Lonchura striata: one gene and its partner. The protein of the gene in region 2 interacts with the protein of the main gene of each other region in a biochemical or structural test. Links are inferred from orthologs where the notes say so. Each region holds a gene or a part of one and is shown on either strand. Other genes may lie near its edges.

Region 1 (10,294 bases), on a different chromosome or scaffold from region 2:
TCTGCGGGATGATGTAGTGCCCGTTCTTGTGGTCTGCACAAAGAGAGGGGTGGTGAGCAGGGCCACGTGCTCCCTCCAGGGTGACCCCCTCACCCCAGGACCCCCTCTCTCACCCGGCTTCCTGCCGCAGAGGTAGAAGGCCAGCCGGTCGGTCAGCTCGTACTGGCACTCCACCAGCCGCTCCGCCAGCTCGTGCTGGGCTGCCTGCCTGTGGGAGGGCCGGCAGGGGTGATGCCCACCCTAGGTGGGGGTGCAGGCAGGGGTCACCCCCTTCCCTGCCCTCACCTGGCATAGTCAATGGGCGTCCGGCCGTTCACATCGGGCGCCCCAGGGTCGGCACCGTAGACCACCAGCAGCTCTGCCTGCAGGATCTGCCCGGCCTTGGCGGCCACGTGTAGCGGTGTGGTGCCCTTCTCCTGCGGGCATGGGCAGCCTCAGCCCTGCAGCCTGCACGTGGCGTGAGGCTCCAGGACCCCCCTGGGCCCCACTCCACCTCTGGGGTCCCTGGGCCCCACCAGAGCTCACCGGGTGGAAGAAGTTGGCCTGGGCACCCAGCGAGAGCAGGCGCAAGCAGGTCTCCAGGTTACCCGTCCGCACGCTCGAGTGCAATTGCTGCAGAGGAGAGAGCTGGTAATGGGGGGATCTGTCCTCACTGCCATAGTGGGGGTCCCTGAGCCGCCACTCCACCTTGCTGAGGTCCTTGGCAGTGACACCGTCATCATCCCGGCAGGGCAGCTTGTGGACGAAGGCCAGCATCTGGTACTTGGCACGGATGAACTCCGACTTGGTGGGGCTGGGTGTGAGCAGTGGGTTTTGGGTGAGGAGGGGGCTTGCAGCCAGTGCTGACCCCCTCCCCACAGCACAGGGGACACTTACTGCACTTTGTCCTGGGGGTTTGCCTTCCGGCGCCCGCTCTGCACCTGCGCTGGATCCAGCAGCGAGTGCTCCCAGATGGAGTTGGCCCCGTTGCTCGCCAAGGTGTGCACCATCTGCAGGGGACAGGCAGGGCCCAGTGGGCGGGGGGGGGGGTCCCAGTGCGCATCTCCCCCCGTTCCAGTGTCCCCAGCACCCACCTGGAGCAGGGTGGCGGGCCAGGGGCTGTGGCGCAGGTGCTTGACGATGGAGATGTGGCGGCCCAGGCTGCGGTGCACGCTGCAGCACTCGTCGCAGATGAGCACCCCGCGGTTGATCGACGCCCAGCCAGGGTCTGGGGGTGGCATGGGGGTGTCAGCGGGTGTCCCCTCCCCGTGCGGTCCCCTCCTCATGCATCCATCCAGCAGGGGGGATGCGTTGCCACAGCAACCATTTCCCGGGAGATGGAGAGGGGCTCGGCCCATCACCAGGGGAAACCCACGGGTTTCCCATAGCAACCGCCAGCCAAAAGGGGGGCAGGGTTTGGCCCCCCACCATCAGGAGGACAGCTGGTGGCAGGGATGATGCCAGCACACTCTGATCAGGGGCACCCTGGCTCACTGCGAGGTCACTCACCCCCGGAGCCCCTGGCTGGGTGTTGGGGGGTCCTGGATGGGGGCAGTGTGTCCCACAAGGGGTGGGCACCCCCAGTCCATGGGCTCCTAGGTAGGGTGGTCACCAGCTCTGCACCCTCAGCTCCGCAGCGCAGCCAGCCCACAGGACACCCCAGCCCCGGGGCAGGTGCCATGGCCCCCCAGGCTGCCGTGCCCCTCCAGCCCCGCCGCTGGCCCCGGCCGGCTGGACTGGAGCCCTTTGTGTCCCCGCTGGGAACAAAGGATCGTTTGAGCAGCCGCGCTGGCCCCGCGCTGGCACCAGCCCCGGCACCCGCGGGGGCACCGCTCCCGGCCAGGCAGCGGCTCCCCACGCCTGCACCCCAAAAACAGGTCCTGGGGACGAGGGGGCCTGGCCCCGTGGTGTGGCCGTTGAGCTGCAGCTGTTCACAGCAGCATGAGGACAGGATTTGGGGACCCCCGCTGGGTCACAGCCCCTCTCCCCCCCGGGAAAGGCAGCCAGGCACGGATGCTGAATCGCTGAATCGTTCCCAGGTGTCCCCTCCGCCAGGCACGACGGGGCAGTCCTGCCACCCTCTGCCCAGCCCCACCCCATCCCCTCGTTTCTGTAGGTCCTACACAAACGCCACACTGTCCCACGGCGGGGGGCAGCCCCACGCCCGGGGATACAGGGCCTGGGGAGGTGACCACACTGACCTGCCCGATGGCCCTGAGCCCCCAGTGGCCCCACGACCTCACAGAGAGAGGAAGGCAGGCAAGCAGCCAAGCCTCCCCCACTTCCTTCCTCCCTGCAGGGTCCCGGACCCCTCCCCACGCACCCCCCCAGAGCCCTGAGGACACCGTGCTGGGGGGCACGGCATCCTGCCATGCTGCAGTGCCCCGGGGCCGGGGTGGGGTGGCCCGGGGGGAGCGGTGGCCCCCCCAGCCTGGCAGCCCCTCGCACGCAGATGGCAGCGCCTTGGCAGCCGGTGCGGCGGCATCTGCGCCTTCGCACCCGCTGCCCACGGCCACCGCCGGGAACAGGACGCTCCGTGCGGGGGGAGCCGGCCCCTCCAAGCGGGTGGATCCAGAATATCCCTGGGGCAACAGCCCCTCCCACCCTAAAACCGCTGGGATGTGGTGGGATGCGGGCGGGCACTGCAGCAGATCGTGGAGTGCTCGCACAGGGACACTCCAAACCCTGGCAGGATCCTGGAGTCCAAGGGAGCTCGCAGCACCTCGATCCCCGCATCGGGATGTGCGCTGGCACCGGGACCGCCAGCGCTCGGCCCCGCACTGGCGATGGCAGGGCTGGGGCCAGCCGGCATCCCTGCGTGGGGCCGAGGGAGGCCGGGCACAGGGACCAGCGCATCCCACGGGCACCTCCCCACGCAGGGCCAGGCAGCGCATCCCCGGCAGCGACAGCGGGTGCTCCCAGCGCGCTAGGAAACGGCCTCTGGACTTTATAACTCATTTCCTCCCATGGCTGCCAGGCGATAAGAGATTGGAAGAGACTGGTTTCCATTTCCCCTGGCCGCAGAAGGGAGCCCCGGCACCGCCCCGGGAACCCCTGGCCCCCCGCTCGCCCGCCGGCACGGGGGATGCCAGGAGGCAGGGCAGCCTTTCGCCCACGCGTGCCGACAGCTCTCCTGGCAGGATCCGGCCATTGGCACGTGGCCGGAATAATTTCGGCACAGCCTTGGCCCGCGGGCAGCTTTCCGGGGCCGGCTCGGAGACCCGTTCATTCATTGCCGTGGGGCCACCTGCACCGGCTACGGGCAGGTTTGGGGTCCGGCCCTACCGTGGGCAGGGTTTGGGGGGCCAAACCCTCCGCGCGTGCCCAGCGTGGGGGCTGTGGGCACGGGCACCGCCGGGGATGGGAATGGTCTTGCCCAGGCTCGGCTCCGGCTTGCAGCGCGGCGGCCGCCGGGCTCACCCAACCGGCACCGCCAAGCCCGGATCCGGCTGGGGTGGGTGCCGGCTGTGGGGTGCAGGGTGTCCCCCATCATCCTGCCATTTACAGGGTCACCAGCGCTGCTGGCACCGACCGGCGCGCCCCCAGCCTGTGCCAGCAGCCCCCGCGCTGGGGTGAGAACGCCGTGGGTGGTGCAGGGGGGCGTGGGGCACACGGGGCGCGCTGGAGCGGCACGGAGGAGGGCATGCGGGGGTATCGGGGCTGCGTCTCGGGTGTATTCGGGCATTCCAGGAGGCTAAAAGGGGGTGCACCAACGGGGTCATGGGTTTCATCAAAGCGTTTCACTGGGGGCACATCAGAGGGCTCCTGGGGGGAAGGAGGGGGACTCCATGGGGCTCCCTCGGGTGCGCAGAGTGGGGCGCAGAAAGGAATCACCAGGGCGACCCTGGGGGCACTCAGGGAGGTGCAAAGGGGTCTCGATGTGGGGTGTAGAAGGAGATGCAAAAGGGGTCACGGGGAGCAGTCCGGGGGCAAGCACCCCGGGGTGCAGCGGGGGCTGGCGGGGCTGCGGGGCCGCCCCGGGGGCTCTCGGCGGCGCGGGGGGAGCGCAGGGCAGGCTCCGGGGGGCAGCAGGAGGCGCGGGGGGGCTGGCGGGGCCGTGCCGGTGCCGATGCGGGGGGGCCCTTACCTGGGGCGCTGCAGTCGGCGCACACCTCTGCCCGCGGCGCCTTCCGGGACATCCTCAGCGGCGAGGCGGGCCCGGGCCCGGGCCTCTGCGCCAGCGTGGGGCGGCGGCGGCGCCCCCGGGCCCGCCGGGGGAGCGGCGGCGGGGAAGGGGTGGGGGGGGCCGGGCAGCGGGGAGGGGGCGGCGGGGCCCGGGCGGCGGGGCCGGGGGCTGCCGGCTGCTCCCAGCGCCCGGCGGCTCCGCAGGAAGCGGCGCAGGCCCGGCCCCGGCGGAGGAGGGGCCGCACCGCCCCCGCCCCGCCACCGGCAGCGCCGCCGCGGCCGCCCCGCACCGGCACCGGCACCGCCCCGCACTCGCAGCCGCACCCGAACCCGCACCGGCGCCGGCACCGCCCCGCACCGGGACACGCACCGGGACCGCCCCCGCCCCGCACACGGACCCGGACGCGCACAAGAATTCGTGCGGACACCGGCACCGCTGCACACACCCGCACCGGCGCCGCCCCCGACCCGCACCCGCACCTGCAAACGCCCCCCGGACAGCCCGGTCCCGGACCGGGGCACCTCACCTGCTCCTGGGCGTCAGCACTGCCCTTGCTCTGATCCCGGGCATCCCCTAGCCCTGACCCCGTGCCCGTCCTCGGTGCACTCCCGGTCCCATTTTCATTTTGTCCTGGTCCTCCTCCCCGCCCTTGTCCTGTTTATCCTGGAGGGGTGGCACTGATCTCATTCCTGTACCGGGTCCCGTGTACCCCCAGTCCCAGCCCAGGGCACCCCCAAATTGCTGCAGTCCTGCTCTGGACACTTGTTCTGGATCCAGCCGCAGTCCTGGGGCAGCCCCAGCCCTCTTCCCCATGCCACCTCTGACGCTGTGTACCCCACTCCCGGACACACCCCTTCTCCAGGACACTGGGTTGGGCCACACACCCCTTTATGGTGCTCCACTGGGGATTTTGGGGGTGGGTGGGGAGGACTGGGGACTGTATGGGGTCTGCTCCCTCCTGCGACCCTTTAGGTACCAGAGGGGACACCGATGGGTGCCCCACAGCCAGCCGGGGGGGTCAGACCCCAGCAGGAGCGGGGTCGCATGGTGTCCCCCCGCCGTGGGGCAGGCGGGGTGGCCTCACCGCGGGCTGCTCACGACATCATGGGGCAGCGGGGACGGGGGATGCTGTGCGGGGACAGGGGCGGGGGGATGCGACCACCGCCACGGCCGAGCAGAGAACAACAGCGGGGGGCTCCTCCCATGGCAGGGTGGGGAGCAGCGGGGTGCGGGGCCGGGAGCGTGGCGCCGGCGGAGGCCGGGGCGGCCGCAGAGGCCCAGCCTTGCATTGTTCTCGGGCGGCAGCCGGAAAACGCGACGCCCGCCCGGGAGAGACGCGGGCGGAAAAGGAAACGGGGCTGGGGCCCCCGTGCCTGGTGCTGCGGGGCCGGGAGTCGGGGTCCCCCCACCTGGTCCCCACCTGCCGCCTTCACCCCTGCCCCACCATATGCCCGGGTCCGCTGCCCCACCGGGGGAGCGGAGATCAGCTGGGAAGGGGAAGATCAGCCTGGGAAAGGGGGCAATGTGGGGAGGATGCTAATCGCCAATGGGGCGCCCCTTCGCAGGTCCCCCCCGCGGGATCGGAAGCCGCGGTGATGGACTGAGCGGTGCGGGAGGGGGGGGCGAGGAAAGAGGAGGATGAAGATGAGGAAGGAGAAGGGGGCGATGCCGGGCAGGGCAACTACAAGTCCCATGAGGCCGGGCGGTGCGGGGGGGCCGGGGAAGCACCGGGCGGGAGGTGGTGGCCCGCCCCGCCCCGCGCCCCCCCGCCCCGCGCCGCGCCGCCCCGCGCCGCGCCCGCCGCGCCGCTCCAGCATGCACGGAGGATGCTCGCGTCTTGCTCGGGCAGGAAGGGGCCGGAGGGCAGGTACCCGCTGCACTACCTCGTCTGGCACAACCGCGCCCGTGACCTGGACCGGGAGCTCAGCGCCAAGCAGGTGGGGCGGCGCGGGGACACTCCCGGCACGGCCCGGCCCGGCCCGGCTCCGCTCGGGCTGATGCAATGCTCGGGGCCGGGGTGAGGATGAGGATGGAGATGAGGGGGGTGATAAGGATGGGGTCGCTCTCTGCGCTGGCGGGGCTCTGGGGGTGCGCTGTGTGTCCCCACCCGCACCCCGGGACTGTGCCCGCTGTCCCCGGGGCTGCCAGGGAGCGGTGGGTGCCACCCGCGGGTCCCCTGCATCCTCCAGCACACGCAGCCCCGAGCAGCCCTCCGCACGTGTCCCCGGCTCCCTGCTAGGCCTCTGCAGACCCCCGGCCCGCACCCCGCTTCTCAGGGTATTGCCAGCCCCCTGGGGGTGCAGCATCAGCTCCGCACCCTCAGGCTGAGCCCCTGGGGGCGGGGGGACAAGGGCCCTGATGCTGTCGGGGCGCAGCCCCCCAGCCCCACAAGGGTTCTCCTCATGGTGAGGGGACCCACTTTGTCCCTCAGCCAGGGAACCTCCCAGCCGCCTGGTGATGGAGCGGGGTGTGGGTGCTTCCCCGGCGGGTTCCCAGCCTCCCTCTCCCCCGTGGCGATGCAATTCAGGTAATTAAAACCCAACCCCGAAGACGCAGGAAACCGCAGGCGCTGGAGGGAGGCTGGCGGGGAAGCTGTGCTGAGCATCCCCAGTCTCTCGGCCCGGGTTCCCAAACCCCAAGGCACCGAGGGCCGTGCTGGATGGACCCTGGTGATGCGTGAAACGGGGGTCATTGTGCCGCGAAGCTCCCGCCGGGATGCAGGCGATGGCTCCCGCCACACCCGTCTCTATTGTGGGGTCCAGCCGGAGGCTGCGCCAGCATCGCCCCGGTCTCCCACCCCATGGCCAGTGTTTTTATTTTCGTGCTAATTTGGGGTCAGTCTTCCCGGGAGCTCAGCGCGGGCGGAGATCAAAGCTGGGCTCGGCAGCTGGGGAGGTGGAGGGGCTGCGGGGGGGCTCTGACCCGCTCGCTGCAGGGAGAATCCAACCCTCCAGCCTGGCTCTGCCCTGGCCCCCGCTGGCATTTGCTGGGTGAGAGCAAAGCCAGCCATGTGTGCACCCCAGGGGTGAGGGGGAGGAGGGGGGGAGCGTGGGTGCTGCAGGCCAGACTCTGGGGCAGGTGGGGGCTTGGGGGAAGGAGGTGAGGGCCAGCCCAGGCTCCCTGCTCTGTCCAGGGCATCCAGGGACACAGCTCAGCCCTTATCCCTGCCAGAGCATCCCCCGGGTGAGGGGCTGGGGCTGATGCTGTGTGAAATGCTGGAGGCTGGGTGCCCCCCTACCCAGGGCTCTTCCCTTCCTCTGTCCTGGTGACCCCCACAGGGCAGTGGCTCCACGTGCTGCCCCTCCCCAGTGCAGGTGTTTGGGGTTGGGAAGCACTGGGGCAGCTGACAGCATTGTTCCTTTCCTTGTCCTCATAAGGGTTCTATGTCTGTCACCCCCAAATTGTCACCATGGGCTCCCATCCACACTTGCCTCAACAAGGGAGCAAGGGTCAGTGGGTCCCCTTGACAGGGACATCACGAGGATGTGGCAGGCAGTGCCATGGAGCCTGTTGTGCCAGGACACCCCTCACCACAGCCTGCCCCCTCAGGCGTGACAGGGACCCGGGGCTGAACGGGGACACCAGTGCCTGGCACCATCTCTGCGTGCTGGCTCGTGTCCCCTGTTGCTGCCCAGGAGCAGGAGCTGGGGTTCTCCAACCCAGGAACAGCCCCAGTGGAGGAACGTGCTGTGCCACGTGCCCGGCTGGCACAGGAGGAGCGACTGAGCTGCGGTTCTGCACTGCACCGCTGCCACCCCAAAGCCACCCCTCCCTGTCCTCATCCCCGGTGGCTGTCACGGCCCCAGGATGGGCAGCACCTGGAGGTCTGTGCTGTGTTCCCCAAGCTGGAGCCAGCCCAAGAGCAGGGCTCAGAACTGAGCTCTTGCTGGCAAAATCTGGGTCACGCCAATGTCCCCTGGGGTGGCTCCAGCACCGTGTCCCCACACTGGGGACCCTCATCCTGCCCAGTGCTGGGGCAGGGCGGCAGCTGGGGAGCCCCACTGAGCCTGCTGCCCCCGCCCACAGCTGGGGGGTGATTGCCTTAATTAGAGCAGTTTCATTAGTGCAATTAAGAAGCAGCAGTCGCCTGGAGAGCATTGGAGCGATACGTTGCCTCCCAGGGAACTGGGGGGCTGTTTTACTCCAGTGGTGTGGGCAGACTGGGGGGGTCCCCCTACCTGGTGAGTCCCTGGGGATGAGGGACACGGGAATGCACAGCCTGGGCAGGGACAGGAACATCCCTGAGCAGCAGCAATGCAGGACATGCCCAGAGCAAGGCAGGGATGTGCTGCAGGTGAGACTTTGGGGTACCAGGGAGCCCGTGCTCCACCTCTGCCCATGTCCAAACATCTCTGCCTTCCTGGTCCCAGCTGGCACCTATGGGTCCTGCACCCCACCTTTGTTCTCCTGTGGGTGGCCTCCCCAAAACCAATTATTTGGGCACTGCCCCACTACCTCCTGCCGTGGCTCTGGGCACTTCTACTCCAGCTTGCTGCTGGGGGCACAGAGGGTGCCCACCCTTCCTGAGCCATATCCCCAGCTGGGCATGGGTGTGACGCTGCTTCCCACATGGGCAGCAGGGCCCGGGGGTGCCGGGGTGCCCACCCGCCGCCGCACCAGGGATTCCTCAGGGCTGGCTGGGTGCCAGGCTCCGGGTTTGGCACAAACAGCGGCGGCTCCCCAGGGCCCCGGGGATCCTCGGAGCCGCCCGCCCCCGGCTCAGGCAGGGGAACACGTGCGCCCACCGCAGCCGCATCGCCCCCCGCGCTCCCGCCCTGCCGGAGGGGGCTGCCGGCAGCTGCTGCCTGGCAACTGGGCACAGCCCCCTCCACATCCCAGAGGTGGGGGCTTTGCTGGAGCGTGCAGCTGCATGGAAATGTGCAGAGCTGCGTGCACTGTGCCAGGGGCATCTGTGCCCCCCACTGCCATGGCGTGCTCCTGCTCTGTGCCCTCCTGGTGGGTGCAGCCCAGACTGGCTGTGATGAGGTGTGCTGGGTGCTGGCAGCCACCGTTGTGCTTTTCATGCTCTCTCCATGGGTCTGGCAGTGGCAGCAGGGAGGTACCTCTCTTGGGAGAGGTCAGGGTGGGGCTGCTCTCCTATACTGTCAAATGTTGGCTGCTTTCTGTGTCTGGGAGCTGTACATCTGTGGGAGAGCACTGAGGAGGAAGGTCTGGCCACCCCAGTGATCTCAAAGCCTCATTCCTTCCTGGCAGGCCGACATCGAGCAGCTGGACCCCCGAGGACGCACTCCCCTGCACCTGGCCACCACGCTGGGCCACCTCGAGTGTGCCAGAGTGCTGCTGAAGCATGGCGCCGACGTGGGCAAGGAGAACCGCAGCGGATGGACAGGTGAGCGGGTGGCTGCTGCCCTCCATCCTCCTTCAAGCTGCCCCGATGCAGGCGTGGGCATGGAGATGGGCGTGGGCATGAGCATGGACACAGATGTGGACATGGACATGGGCATGAACATGGGCACAGGCATGGCCATGGTGCTGCAGCTCCCCAGGGCGCTGCTGCTGTGGTGCTCCTGTGCAGCGCCCAGCTCTGCAGTGCCATGCTGTGCCATGCTGTGCCACGGCCCTGGACACTGCCCCTTTGCCCCACAGTCCTGCAGGAGGCTGTGAGCACCCGTGACCTGGAGCTGGTGCAGCTGGTCCTGCGCTACCGTGACTACCAGAGGGCCATCAAGCGCCTGGCGGGGATCCCTGTCCTGCTGGAGAAGCTGCGCAAGGTACCTCCCTCGGCAGGGCGGCGGGGCCGCGGCCACGGCGTCCCCCTGACCCCTCTGCGCTCCCCACAGGCCCAGGACTTCTACGTGGAGATGAAGTGGGAGTTCACCAGCTGGGGTGAGCTCGGGGCACAGCATGGCTGTGGGGGGAGTGGGAATTTCCCAGTGAAATCCTCCAGCCCCAGCATCCATCCCCATCCCGAGGCTGAGGGTCACCTGCTCCCTTGCCCCCTGACACCCCAAGCTTGCAGACCCCCATCCTGCCAAGGCATCGCGTTCCCCAGGTGCATCCCCCACCCAGCTCAGTGCTGGCAGCCCCCTCAGGGCTGCAGGTGTCCCCATCCCCGGCTGGGCTATCGGCATCTCTCCCCAGTGCCCCTGGTGTCCAAAATCTGCCCCAGCGACACCTACAAGGTGTGGAAGAGCGGCCAGAACCTGCGGGTGGACACCACACTGCTGG
Region 2 (10,534 bases):
AGAGGGCGGGTTTAGGTTATATATAAGAAATAAATTCTTTGCTAAGAGGGTGATAAGGCACTGGCATGGGTTGCTCAGAGGTGTTATGGACTCCCCACCCCTGGAGGTGTTCAAGACCAGGCTGGACAGGGCTTGGAGCAGCCTGGGATAGTGGAAGGTATCCCTGCCCATGGCAGGGGGTTGGAACTGGATCGTCTTTAAGGTACCTTCTGACCCAAACCATTCTGTATTTCTGTGATTCTCTACCCTGAGAGGATGCCATGGCTCTGAAGCTCTAGGCTTCAGTCTTGCAAATATAGTCATTGAATTGCAGACCAGTTAAAATTACTGAGACAGACAAACTGTGGGCTGCTAAATACGCAGCAATGAAGCCAGGAACAGCCCTGCTCATTTCTGTGGACAACCACATCCATTTCCCTTGCTTTCCTACTGCAACAAGCCATGCTGATCCCACACGTATTCAACACCCAGATTCATCTCATGCTGCTTGAGACATCCAAGCACAGCTCCCACGGCAAGAGTCCAGCTGCCCTGGGCTCCCTCTGGAGCCAATGGGAACAGATAGGCACCTGTAGCAGGTGATTCATGGACCACACCAAAGGTCTGAATCACTCCTCCCATGGAGTGGCTCTCTCACTCCACTGATTACAGAGGCAAGCCAGGGTAAATGGGTTCATACTGTAGGTGGTCAGCCAGGTGGAATGTATCCAGACCTGCTCTAGTTACACAGGAGCTGTATTATCACAGCTGGTTCTGAATCCTTCAGTTTCTTCTTCCAATATTATTTGCAGCTACACGAATATGGCCTTTCTGAAAAATATTACCTTTTAAAAAATGTTTAACGAAATAATGTGCAGCTCTATTGCCCTGAACATGCAACTGAATATACTTTTAGCTCAATACCTTTCATTATAGCTATAAACTATCTGAAGACATGCTGAAATCAGACTACACTGAGGGAATGTACTATGTTCGAATTGGATATTAGGGGTGTATTTAATTTCTGATTGAAATAAATGATACTTGGCTTTAGAAGTTCTTTCTAGCTCAAGGGGATTTCTACTGCTGTAAATCCATACAGAAAAGACAGCAGGTGCAATAATTCTGAACTGCAAATTGCATAACTGAAGCTGAAACTAAGTTGAAAGCCTTTTCGAGCTCAGCAGGTTTGTACTTGAGTGAGAATGTGTGGTTTTGGTTGCAGGAGTGACAGCTAAATTTGAAAAACATTTACAGTCTTGACATAGGTATGATTCCCACTAAAATAAATTGTGTAAGTTCATCTGGTCTTTTAAGAGTCCTCTCCAGGTCTCCAGGGGCTTTATAGGGACTTTTCATCTTAAGATCAATTCAAAAACCCTCTTCAGTTTCAGAGCAGCCAATTCCCATTTGATTTACACCTGCCTGGATCTGGCACAGATCCGTGTAGACCCACATGATATAAATAAAATGTCAATATAAAGGACTGTGCTGTGTTGAGGTTTGTAGAAGTCGTGGCTTCCATTGCCCAAGGGCTGACACATTTACTGGTGCACTTAGCTTTATACATGGGCATAACCATTAATTACCTCTGTCCTCTTCTTCACAGGCCACCTTCCAGCCTCTTCCCTCTTATTCCTTCTCCCTCAGGCAAAGTGTCTCCTCTGTGTAGCAACCTCTAGAGACTTTTTTAATGGCAACAGAATGGTCCAGGTCACATCTATCTACTGACAAAAGGATAATCAGCGCTGCTGGCAAAAATCCTGTTCTTACATCTATCCATTTTGGTATGAAATGCCTGAAATGTGTTCAAAATTCACTTTGCTGCTAAGTCATTAAGTCATCTGTAAAGGACAAGGAGCAAATAAGATACCATCAGCTCGACTCGGGAGGGGGAAAAAAATAACCAACAACTGTCTAGGCGATCTTGGGCTATTTTCAGCAGAGGTTTTGTGCTAGCGTGGGGTGGCTCTGAGGCTCGCAAAGGAAATTTCGGCATAAATGAAGCGCGAAGCCGTCAGCGGAGAGCAGCAGGTGTTTGTCCTCAGAGCCCGCGGGCAGGGCAGCTCCGGCCCGACCCCACACCTCACCCGGCACGGGCTGGCAGGAAGAGCTGCCTGCTTTGCTGAGCTTGGGTAAACATTAGGATCTAATTTATCATGTGACAATAAAGGAAACCTTTCCCTTTCTCCCAACCCTTTTTTTTTTTTTTTTTTTTTTTTTTAACAGTCTTTGTTTGAATTTCAGCGTGTGGTTTTTGAGGTGCAAAGAGTGGAGATTTAACCTGGGTCTCTGGACTGATTACTTTGCTGTCAACTGATGTATGTGGGGCTCTTTCCAGACACATCCACAAGTGTTACGTCTCACTAAATTACATGAACAGGGAGCCAGACCTCTTGCTGAACTTACAAAAGAGACATCACACTCATTTAATTAAAAAGATCTGAGTTGCTGGTGTTCTTCATGTTAGATGGTATATCCTGGGTTACATGCCCAGGAGAAATGAAAAAAAAAAAAAAAAAAAAAAATGTTTTCCTTGTACTACAAAGTAAATAGGACTGAGAAATATTTTAGTATTTGCAGAGCCTGGGAGTTCTGACTTAATCATTCCATGTGTATTTCGTGCAGCACAGAGCATTATGCAAAGATCTGGTTATTCAATTTTTTTCTCTAGAATTTCAAGTCCTGGCCTTCCCCGCTGATGTGGTCCCGGCTTTGGTGGACTGCACATGGGAGTAGCAATTGGCTTTAAAGTCAGGCCTTTCAAATATTTTTGGGGCACCTCAGAATCTCTGCTGGATCCACAGTCTGGGCTCTGTGTGGCATTCATAGAGCCTGTTGCCTAAGGAAGGTATTTGCAGTATTCCACATGGGAGCATATTCCTTAGCTAGGATATTCTGGATGTAGGTTCCCTCCTGGACTAGGCCATCCTTTTGGGCATGAATACAGCGCCTCCTTCTCATGTAGCAGACATTTATATGCTGTGGGAACTCTGTTCCCACCTGAGGCTGAAACCGATTTCTCAAGAAAGTGCCTAAACACTGGCACTTCCACCCTCCTCTGAAACTTGTGTACAGAGTGATTTGAAGGTAACAGAGATAAAGGTGACAACTCCTTGAGGCTGAGGAGGGTCTGCAGCTAAAACCTCCTGCCTCTTAGATGGGAAATCCAACCACAGATGTGAAGAGCTGAGCAAGCTGAATGTGAGTGTGCCTTGTTAACAAACTGGGTGAAGTGAAAATTAATATACAGAATTCATCCATTTTTATTCTTAATTCAGGATTGTGTCCTAGATTCTTTGTTTTCATAATGAAGTAGGATTACAGAATGGTGAAAATATTCATTTTTTGGTTTTAACCACTTAAGGACTAAACAAAACTTAGTTTCAAAAGAAAAAGACACTGGGTTCTAAGGCAACCCAGACTGAGAGAAAATGTTACTCCATGTTTGAGGATCTACATGAATACAGAGGTTCATTAATTTATTCCACATGACCTGGCTCCTAGATCAGTTAATCCGACTGGATATATTGCAGTGTCCAGTTTGGGAGAGATTATCAACTCTGTGCCCGTTACAGTCTTTAACCTTTTGCCCTTTCATCCACAAAGTCTCCATTTGACTCGTCAAATCAGGCCAAAACAGTCTTTCTACTAACATTATTAATTTTCATTTTTTATGTGTGACGAGCTGAAGTGGAATGGTATTTGTTCACACAGCCATGAACTCCACTTTATTTTCCAGCCTTGTTTTGGTATTGCTGGAGCAGGTTATCTTGAGGATGCTGCCTTGGCAGCTGCTTAGCCTGAAGTCTTTTTCATCCACTGAAAATCTGGATCAAAGCTTATAAATAAAAGCATTTACCTATGTACAGATTAATTCATAACAATTCACTTTGGAATCTTTTTGCTATTCTTCCTACATTGAAAAGTCAGACCTCAGTTATTCAGACATTCAGTGTTAAATCTGATCTATATTCAGCAGAATTCATTATTTGAATGTCCCTCATCATATTTGGCTTTTTCCTCAAAGTTCCAGTTCCCAGAGTCATGGGATTACATTAGAAACTTCAGGAGGAAAAACAAAAATGTAATCTAGACCTCATGGCTGTACAGGGAAAACTTAAAAAATGTGACTTGAATTCACTCTAAAGGCTCAAATACCAAAGGGAAAGAGCACAGTGTAATAAATGTGTAAAGAATTTTGTGTGTGGAAAAGGAAGATTGACTCATTAGCGATCCTTTCTATCCAGTGCTAGGTGTCGAGATGTTGTGTTTAAAAATAAATTCACATAATCCAGCCACAAATCTGCAAAACCTTCTGTGCAGCGACTGCTGCTTTTTGGCATGACTTGCCTCTGTCTGCCTAACTGGCCCTTGATGCCTTTTAGAGCTTTCGACTGTAAAAGGAACAACAGGGTCAAAATGCAAATACTTTATTCAGGGTGGTAGCACAAATGCGAAGAGAGGAAAGAGAGTTTTCTAAGCTTTGCCTGGCAGACTTCAACTTTCAACTCATGGGCATGGTGAAGGCTCCACGAAGAGAGTAAAAGCTATAGAAATCCAAGTGGGAAAACATTTCTATGGTGTTTTGGAAAAATAATAGTCAACATAGCCAAACCCAGTTTCCTGTGGGGAACAGGCTAGTCAGAGAAGTTGTTCTTCACTGTGCGAGGACCTGGCAGCTCTGCTCCACAGAATCACAGAATGGATTAGCTTGGAAAAGACCTCTGGGGTCATTGAGTCCAGTCGATGACCAAACACCACGGTGTCAACCAGGACATGGCAGTGAGTGCTACATCCAGTCTTTCGTTAGACGCCTCCAGGGATGGTGACTCCAGCACCTGCCTGGGAGCACATTCCAATGTCTGATCACCCTTCGCGTGAAGAAAGTCTTCCTAATGTCCATCCTGGCAGCTCAAGTCAATGTCCTCTTGTATCCCCTGCTCTTGTCCAGGCTGAGCCCCCAGCTCCCGCAGCCTCTGCTGGTGCTTCACACCCTTCCCAGGTCCATTCCCTCCTCTGGACCCGCTCAGCCCCTCAATGGCTTCGGCCCGAGCTCCCCGGAGCCGGTCCCAGCCCCTGGGCTCGCAGGAGCAGCTTGGGCCAGCGGGGCCGGGCGAGGCGCTGCGACTGCGGGGCCACTCCGGCCTTGCCCTGTTCCCAGCCCGAGCTCGCCTCCTGCCCCGGGGCTCCGCTGCGGCTTTCCCGTGGGCGGCGGCGGTATCGCTCCCGGGGCGGGCAGCGCCGAGCGGGTCTCGAACCCCCGTCCCCAGCGGCGGGAGCGGGGCAGCGGCGGCCGCGCCGCCCCGCGCGGTGCATTGTGGGCGCCGCGCTGATTTATGCGGGGCCGCGGAGCGCGCCGGGAGCGGCGGGAGGAGGCGGCGGCGCGGCGGGGCCGGGACCGGCGGGGCCGCGGCGGCGATCGCGGCTCTCCGGGCGCGCAGCGCTTCTGCCGCCCCCTGAGGCCGCGGCGGCGCCGCGGGCGGCCGGCACCACCCACCTGGCCTCAGCCGACCCCGCGCCGGCCACCACGGACGTGGAGGCGGCGGCGGGCGGAGCCGGGCCCGGGCCGAGGGGACCGTCCCGGCGCGGCGGAGCCCCCGCCTCTCGGTAGGGGCCGGAGCGAGGGCGGGCTCGCCGGGGCCTCCGCGGCCGGGCTCGCTCCGCAGGGGCTGCGCGGGGCCCGGGCCGGCCGCGCTCCCGGCGCCGCTGGGGCCTCCGGCGAGGAGCGAGCGAGGCGAGGAGCGAGGCCCGGCCCGGTGCTCCCCGAGACGGGCGGGGGCAGCGGGAGAGCCCGGCGTCCTGCGCCCGCGGCTTTGCTAGCCGGCCCTCCGCGGGCACGGGGAGCGGCGGCACCGGGCCGGTGCCCCCGGAGCTGCCGGCTGCTTTCTTTGCCCGCTCTCGGTTGCGGAGCATCGTCTGTGGGACTAGTGCCGAGGAAACAACAGGTCTCGCTCCCTGCTCGCCTTCCTAAGGACGCCAGCGCCTTGCTCTCGGGATTATAAATGTTTGAACTAAGACGCAGGGAACTGGAAGGAGAGCTTCCCGTTGGAATTAATAGAAGAGAAAAGAAGGGAGGCTTTTCCAAATCCTCTACACGAAAGCTCGTGCTGTTTTCCCCTGCTGTCCGTACTCTGTTTAGTAACGCGATTGTGACCTGAGTGGAATTTATGAGCGATGAACTGTTGAAGCTTGTTGCATCTCTGCATCGGACATTTTTTCTTTTTTTGTCAGCACATGATTCCTCCATCCCAGCTGTTGCAGGGCCTATGGGCCAGTAATAGAGGGATGGGAAGCTGAGACAGTTTATTTTCACATTCTTCTGTACTGGGGACTTGGCGAGTTAGCTGAAGCTGCTGCTTTTTACCGGATCTGCTCTTTTCTCGGCAGGTTTATTCTTTTTTTTCATGTGTTTCGATTAAACAGTTACTGGACTGGAGCTGGATGGGTGCTTTGCAATCCAAAGGGTTTTGGGGGATAACAGAAAACTGCTAAAACAGAGAAGAAGACCTGGTGCTGCAGGAAACCTGGGGCCTGTTTTCACAGCCTTTTCGTTTTGTTGAGCAAGGTAAATAACGTAGTGGTGAAAGTTCAGGGCTTATTGTAATCATGCATGAAAATGTTGCAAAGCACTTCAGATTGTTCCTAGTCTTTCAAAGTATTGAGAGGACCGACAGTAAGAATCAGAATGGATTGTTTTTCAGATGTGAGTGTAAAATATAAGGCTGAGAGCAAAGTTTGTGGTACCTGAGAGGTTTCGGGAGCTGCTTTTCTTGATTTTTGCTTAAGTTCTTGTAGATTTGTGCTTTTGAGAGAGATTGCCTGAAGAACTGTGTTGTTGGTTCAGTGATTTACGAGTGGGTTTTTTCCATGGTTTTTAAAGCCTTAATGCCTTAGCTCTGGTAGGGATCTGTTAAGGTCTCTCAAAGGTGCTCCCAGTTGTGTGCTCACTTCCAGTAGTGCACTCCTCCTATTTGCATTGTTAACTGTATTCATCCTCTACCTTTAATTATTTTTGCTTACCTTTACTTTTGCTGTCCGCATTGACAGCTGCTACTACTCCATAATGAATTTTTATCTTCCTTTACATGTTTTTATCTCCCGAATTGGACCATTTTCATTTACTACTCATTTACCATACATTACTTTCACCATCATAAAACTTCCACAGTCAACATACGCTCAAAGTACTGTTGTAGATACAATCTTTGTACATTTGAAGCAGTGGAAGAAGCAGATAATGTTTCCCAAAATGTGCAGTGTAATAGTTTGCTGGGTGAAGTGTATAATTTTTGGTGTCAGGCTGCATGCCTTATCTTTTTTTTTTTTTTTAAAGACCTCGGCAGCAGTTTACTCCTCAAAAAAGCATAAATCCGTTAAAATGAAGTCACAGTTTGAGACATAGATGCAAAAATCTGGTTTTGCAAGAAGTCACAAGATTCTCATTATGAAGCAAAGCCTTGATTAAGTTGACTGTGTACCTTTTCTCCACTCTTAATGAAATAGTGGCAAACGCCAAGGTGTTGGCAGCCTTTGCTGATGCTATCGTGGGGAGAGCTAAGTGGGTACTACGGGCAGCACTCAAAGTTCCTGTTTAGATTTGTTTGACCGAGATTTCTGGCCTTTGTTGTGTCTCGTTTTTGTTTCAAGATGATGTGTGAGGTGATGCCAACCATCAGTGAGGCCGAGATTCCCACCGGGGGAAATGGAGGCCACGGTTCAGGTTCCCCGTTGCAGTCAGATGCTGATTCCCACTTTGAGCAGTTAATGGTGTCCATGCTGGAAGAGAGGGATCGCCTGCTGGAAACGCTCCGCGAAACTCAGGAGACGCTCGCGCTCACCCAGGGCAAGCTGCATGAGGTTGGCCATGAGAGGGATTCCTTGCAGAGGCAGCTCAATACTGCACTTCCACAGGTATGGACGTTTGGGAAGGCAAGGGGTTTTTCAATGATTTTTGTGTTCTTCGTGGTGTGCTGTTGGCTTTCTGTAGTTTGGTTTACTGAAGAGTTAGGTTGTCTTAGGGGAAGATGAATCTATCCTGAAGGATTTTTTGGTGTTTGCTCACTTTGAGAAAGATGCAAAAGCAAGGAAAGCAGGGAAGAACAGCCCTTTCTCTCCAGTCTGCTTTCCCAGTTTCTGGAATTTCCTTAGCATAAACGTAGAATGGTGTCTACATCTTTTGTCTAATAGAACTTGATGGACCTTTTTCTGCAACTAGTACTTTTTAAATGCTATTTCTTAATTGCCTGATTCATTAAGGTACTTAAGAATTATTACCTGGTCTAGTGGGAGGTGTCCCTGCCCACAGCAGGGGTTTGGAACTGGATGGTCTTTAAGGTTCCTTCCAATCCCATTCTGGGATTCTATGAATTCCATACAGACCATTTTGACTCTATTAAAGACTTTGATTTAAAACCTTGAAGGCTACTGCCTTGTGAATGCATGCTGAGTTGTCATGGCAATATAGAAGTCTGAGTGTGTTGTTTAACCTGTTTAGTTACTTTTGAAAAGTTTGGATTTGGCTTTTTTTTTTTTTTTTCGTCCTGTTAGGAGCTCCTAATTAGTGCCTTGTGGAGAATGCACGTGGCCTGCAGTGCTAGGTTTGTTACGTAAGGAGCATTGTTAGGAAAGGTGATTGGTCTCTGCAGAACTCTTTGGGTTTTATCCATTTGAGTTAAAAATAAAACTGGACTTTGAACATATTGAGAAGCCTTTGGCTGTAGGCAAAGCAGGGGTTGCTTTGAGGTGTTGGTTAACTGTTGACAGCCTTGGTCTTTCTGGTGTGGTGGTTGCTGTCCCAAATGTGGCACAATGGTGCTATGACTTTTACAAATGTTCCCATATCCTTAAATATTGTAGTTACTGTTTATACCCTTTCAAACAGTGGTTTGTTTCACTGCTCTCATTATAATGTAATCACTGTATGATCCTTGGTATGGTAATTGGTGCTGGTAATTACTGATGGATGGAAATGAAATGTGTTAATCTAGTTCTGTTACAATGATGAAAATCAGAAAGGAGAAGTTTTGAACCTTCGCTACTGCCTGTGTTAAATCACGTGCTGCAGGCAAACGTAATTCTTTGGTTTTTTTTGTTCTAATAATCGTAGCTTTTTATCCTCTGTGTCAGGTGTGCTACATTAATGAAGGCCATTAACCACTTACATGACCTGCAGACTGTTAGACCTGAGTTTGTGCTGAGCAGAATCATCCCAGCTCTCAGCTCTGCTGTTCCCCTTTTGCCTTTTCAGTTCTCAGCTTTCCTTCCTAAATATAGTTGGCTACTTGCATGTAACCATCACTTTCTAAACATTTCTGGAAAATTAATAAACAGTTCCCCTTTTCAAAAATGCCATAATTGCATGGTTTCATGTGAAATCTGTTGGAAAAGCAAGTCAGTTGAGAGAGAAATTTTACTGCAATTTTATGTAAAAATACAGCAGTGTATGGATTTTTGTAGATTGTTGTTGGAAAATACTCTTTTCATCCTGTGGAACATCTGCGTTTGTCCCTAGTGATACTTAGCTCACATTATTGTGGTTTCAAAAATCAGAAATATTTTCATTACTCTTGATACATCAGAAGTAACCTCTGATTTGGGCAGTTTTTGTTGTTGTTATGGTAGAGTCAGTTACTTCATGGGTGCAAATTTTTGATGGGGTGAAACAATTTTTAAAAAAAATTCTAATATGTGTTCACTGTCAAAACTTTGTAGTGACTAATATTTGAAACTATTCAAACTTTCTTGTTAATTATTTCAAGCTGAGCATTCTTTTGAACTACTGCCTCAAATGACCAGTTGTTTAGCTGTGTATTTCAAGGAGGGTAAAGTCTTTAAATTTAATAAAATAACAGCTGTGTTATATTTTTTCAGCAAAGAATGAATAGTAGTGTAAATTTTAATTTTTTTTATCATAGTAGTTGTTTTCAATTTAGTAGACCTGCAAGGTCAATTTAACTAATTGTACAAAGACCTGTGTAATTTCATTAGTTGCTAAATCACTCTGTAACCAAAGTATTATTTCTTTCTCAGACTTTGCTTGTAACAAGTCTTTGTAGTTGATTTTAGACCTCTTTATCTTAACAGGTATTGAATTGAATTGTTTCTATGTGTACTTTTCCTGTTTTAGATCTTTAGGTGAACCAGCCAGTTTTAGACTGTTCTGATGACTGATGGGAAGTCCTGGTCTAACAGCAGGAATGCCAGATTGATTTCTTCTATACCAAAATGCATCTTCTGGTTTTGCTACAAAGTCAATTTCTGATGACATCCCTGTGCTTAATTCCTTACATTTACTGAGTTTTCTGTGTATAAGAAAGCTCACACTGATAAATAAAATACACCATGTTTATATTTCAAAAGTAACTATCAGTTTCAAAATGGCAGTATTTTCAAAAACAGTATTTGCACCTCTGAGCTTCTAAAAGTAAATGCAGTTTTTCCTGCAGCAGTGATGCACATTTTGTGATCACATTTCTTAGTGTGATGGGCAGCTAGGAATTCAAGGCATCAGTCCTACTAGCTCCGTAAACCTGGGACAGTTATTTAGGGTAAG

Evidence for each region. The genes of interacting proteins can lie anywhere in the genome.
Region 1: the proteins of PPFIA1 (region 2) and GIT1 form a complex in vitro, tested with the Homo sapiens proteins (2 studies listed by BioGRID). The link is inferred for Lonchura striata from reciprocal best matches to the Homo sapiens genes PPFIA1 and GIT1.

Annotation. Positions count from the first base shown.
Region 1 is NC_134622.1:7,765,608-7,775,901, forward strand, and holds the start of GIT1 (ARF GTPase-activating protein GIT1), read right to left. Parts: upstream 4,173-10,294; 5' UTR 4,119-4,172; coding exon 4,067-4,118; intron 1,208-4,066; coding exon 1,074-1,207; intron 990-1,073; coding exon 877-989; intron 794-876; coding exon 688-793; intron 613-687; coding exon 526-612; intron 417-525; coding exon 286-416; intron 209-285; coding exon 114-208; intron 34-113; coding exon 1-33. UniProt on the Homo sapiens protein: GTPase-activating protein for ADP ribosylation factor family members, including ARF1.
Region 2 is NC_134608.1:54,938,421-54,948,954, reverse strand, and holds the start of PPFIA1 (liprin-alpha-1), read left to right. Parts: upstream 1-5,780; 5' UTR 5,781-6,547; intron 6,548-7,629; coding exon 7,630-7,893; intron 7,894-10,534. UniProt on the Homo sapiens protein: May regulate the disassembly of focal adhesions. May localize receptor-like tyrosine phosphatases type 2A at specific sites on the plasma membrane, possibly regulating their interaction with the extracellular environment and their association with substrates.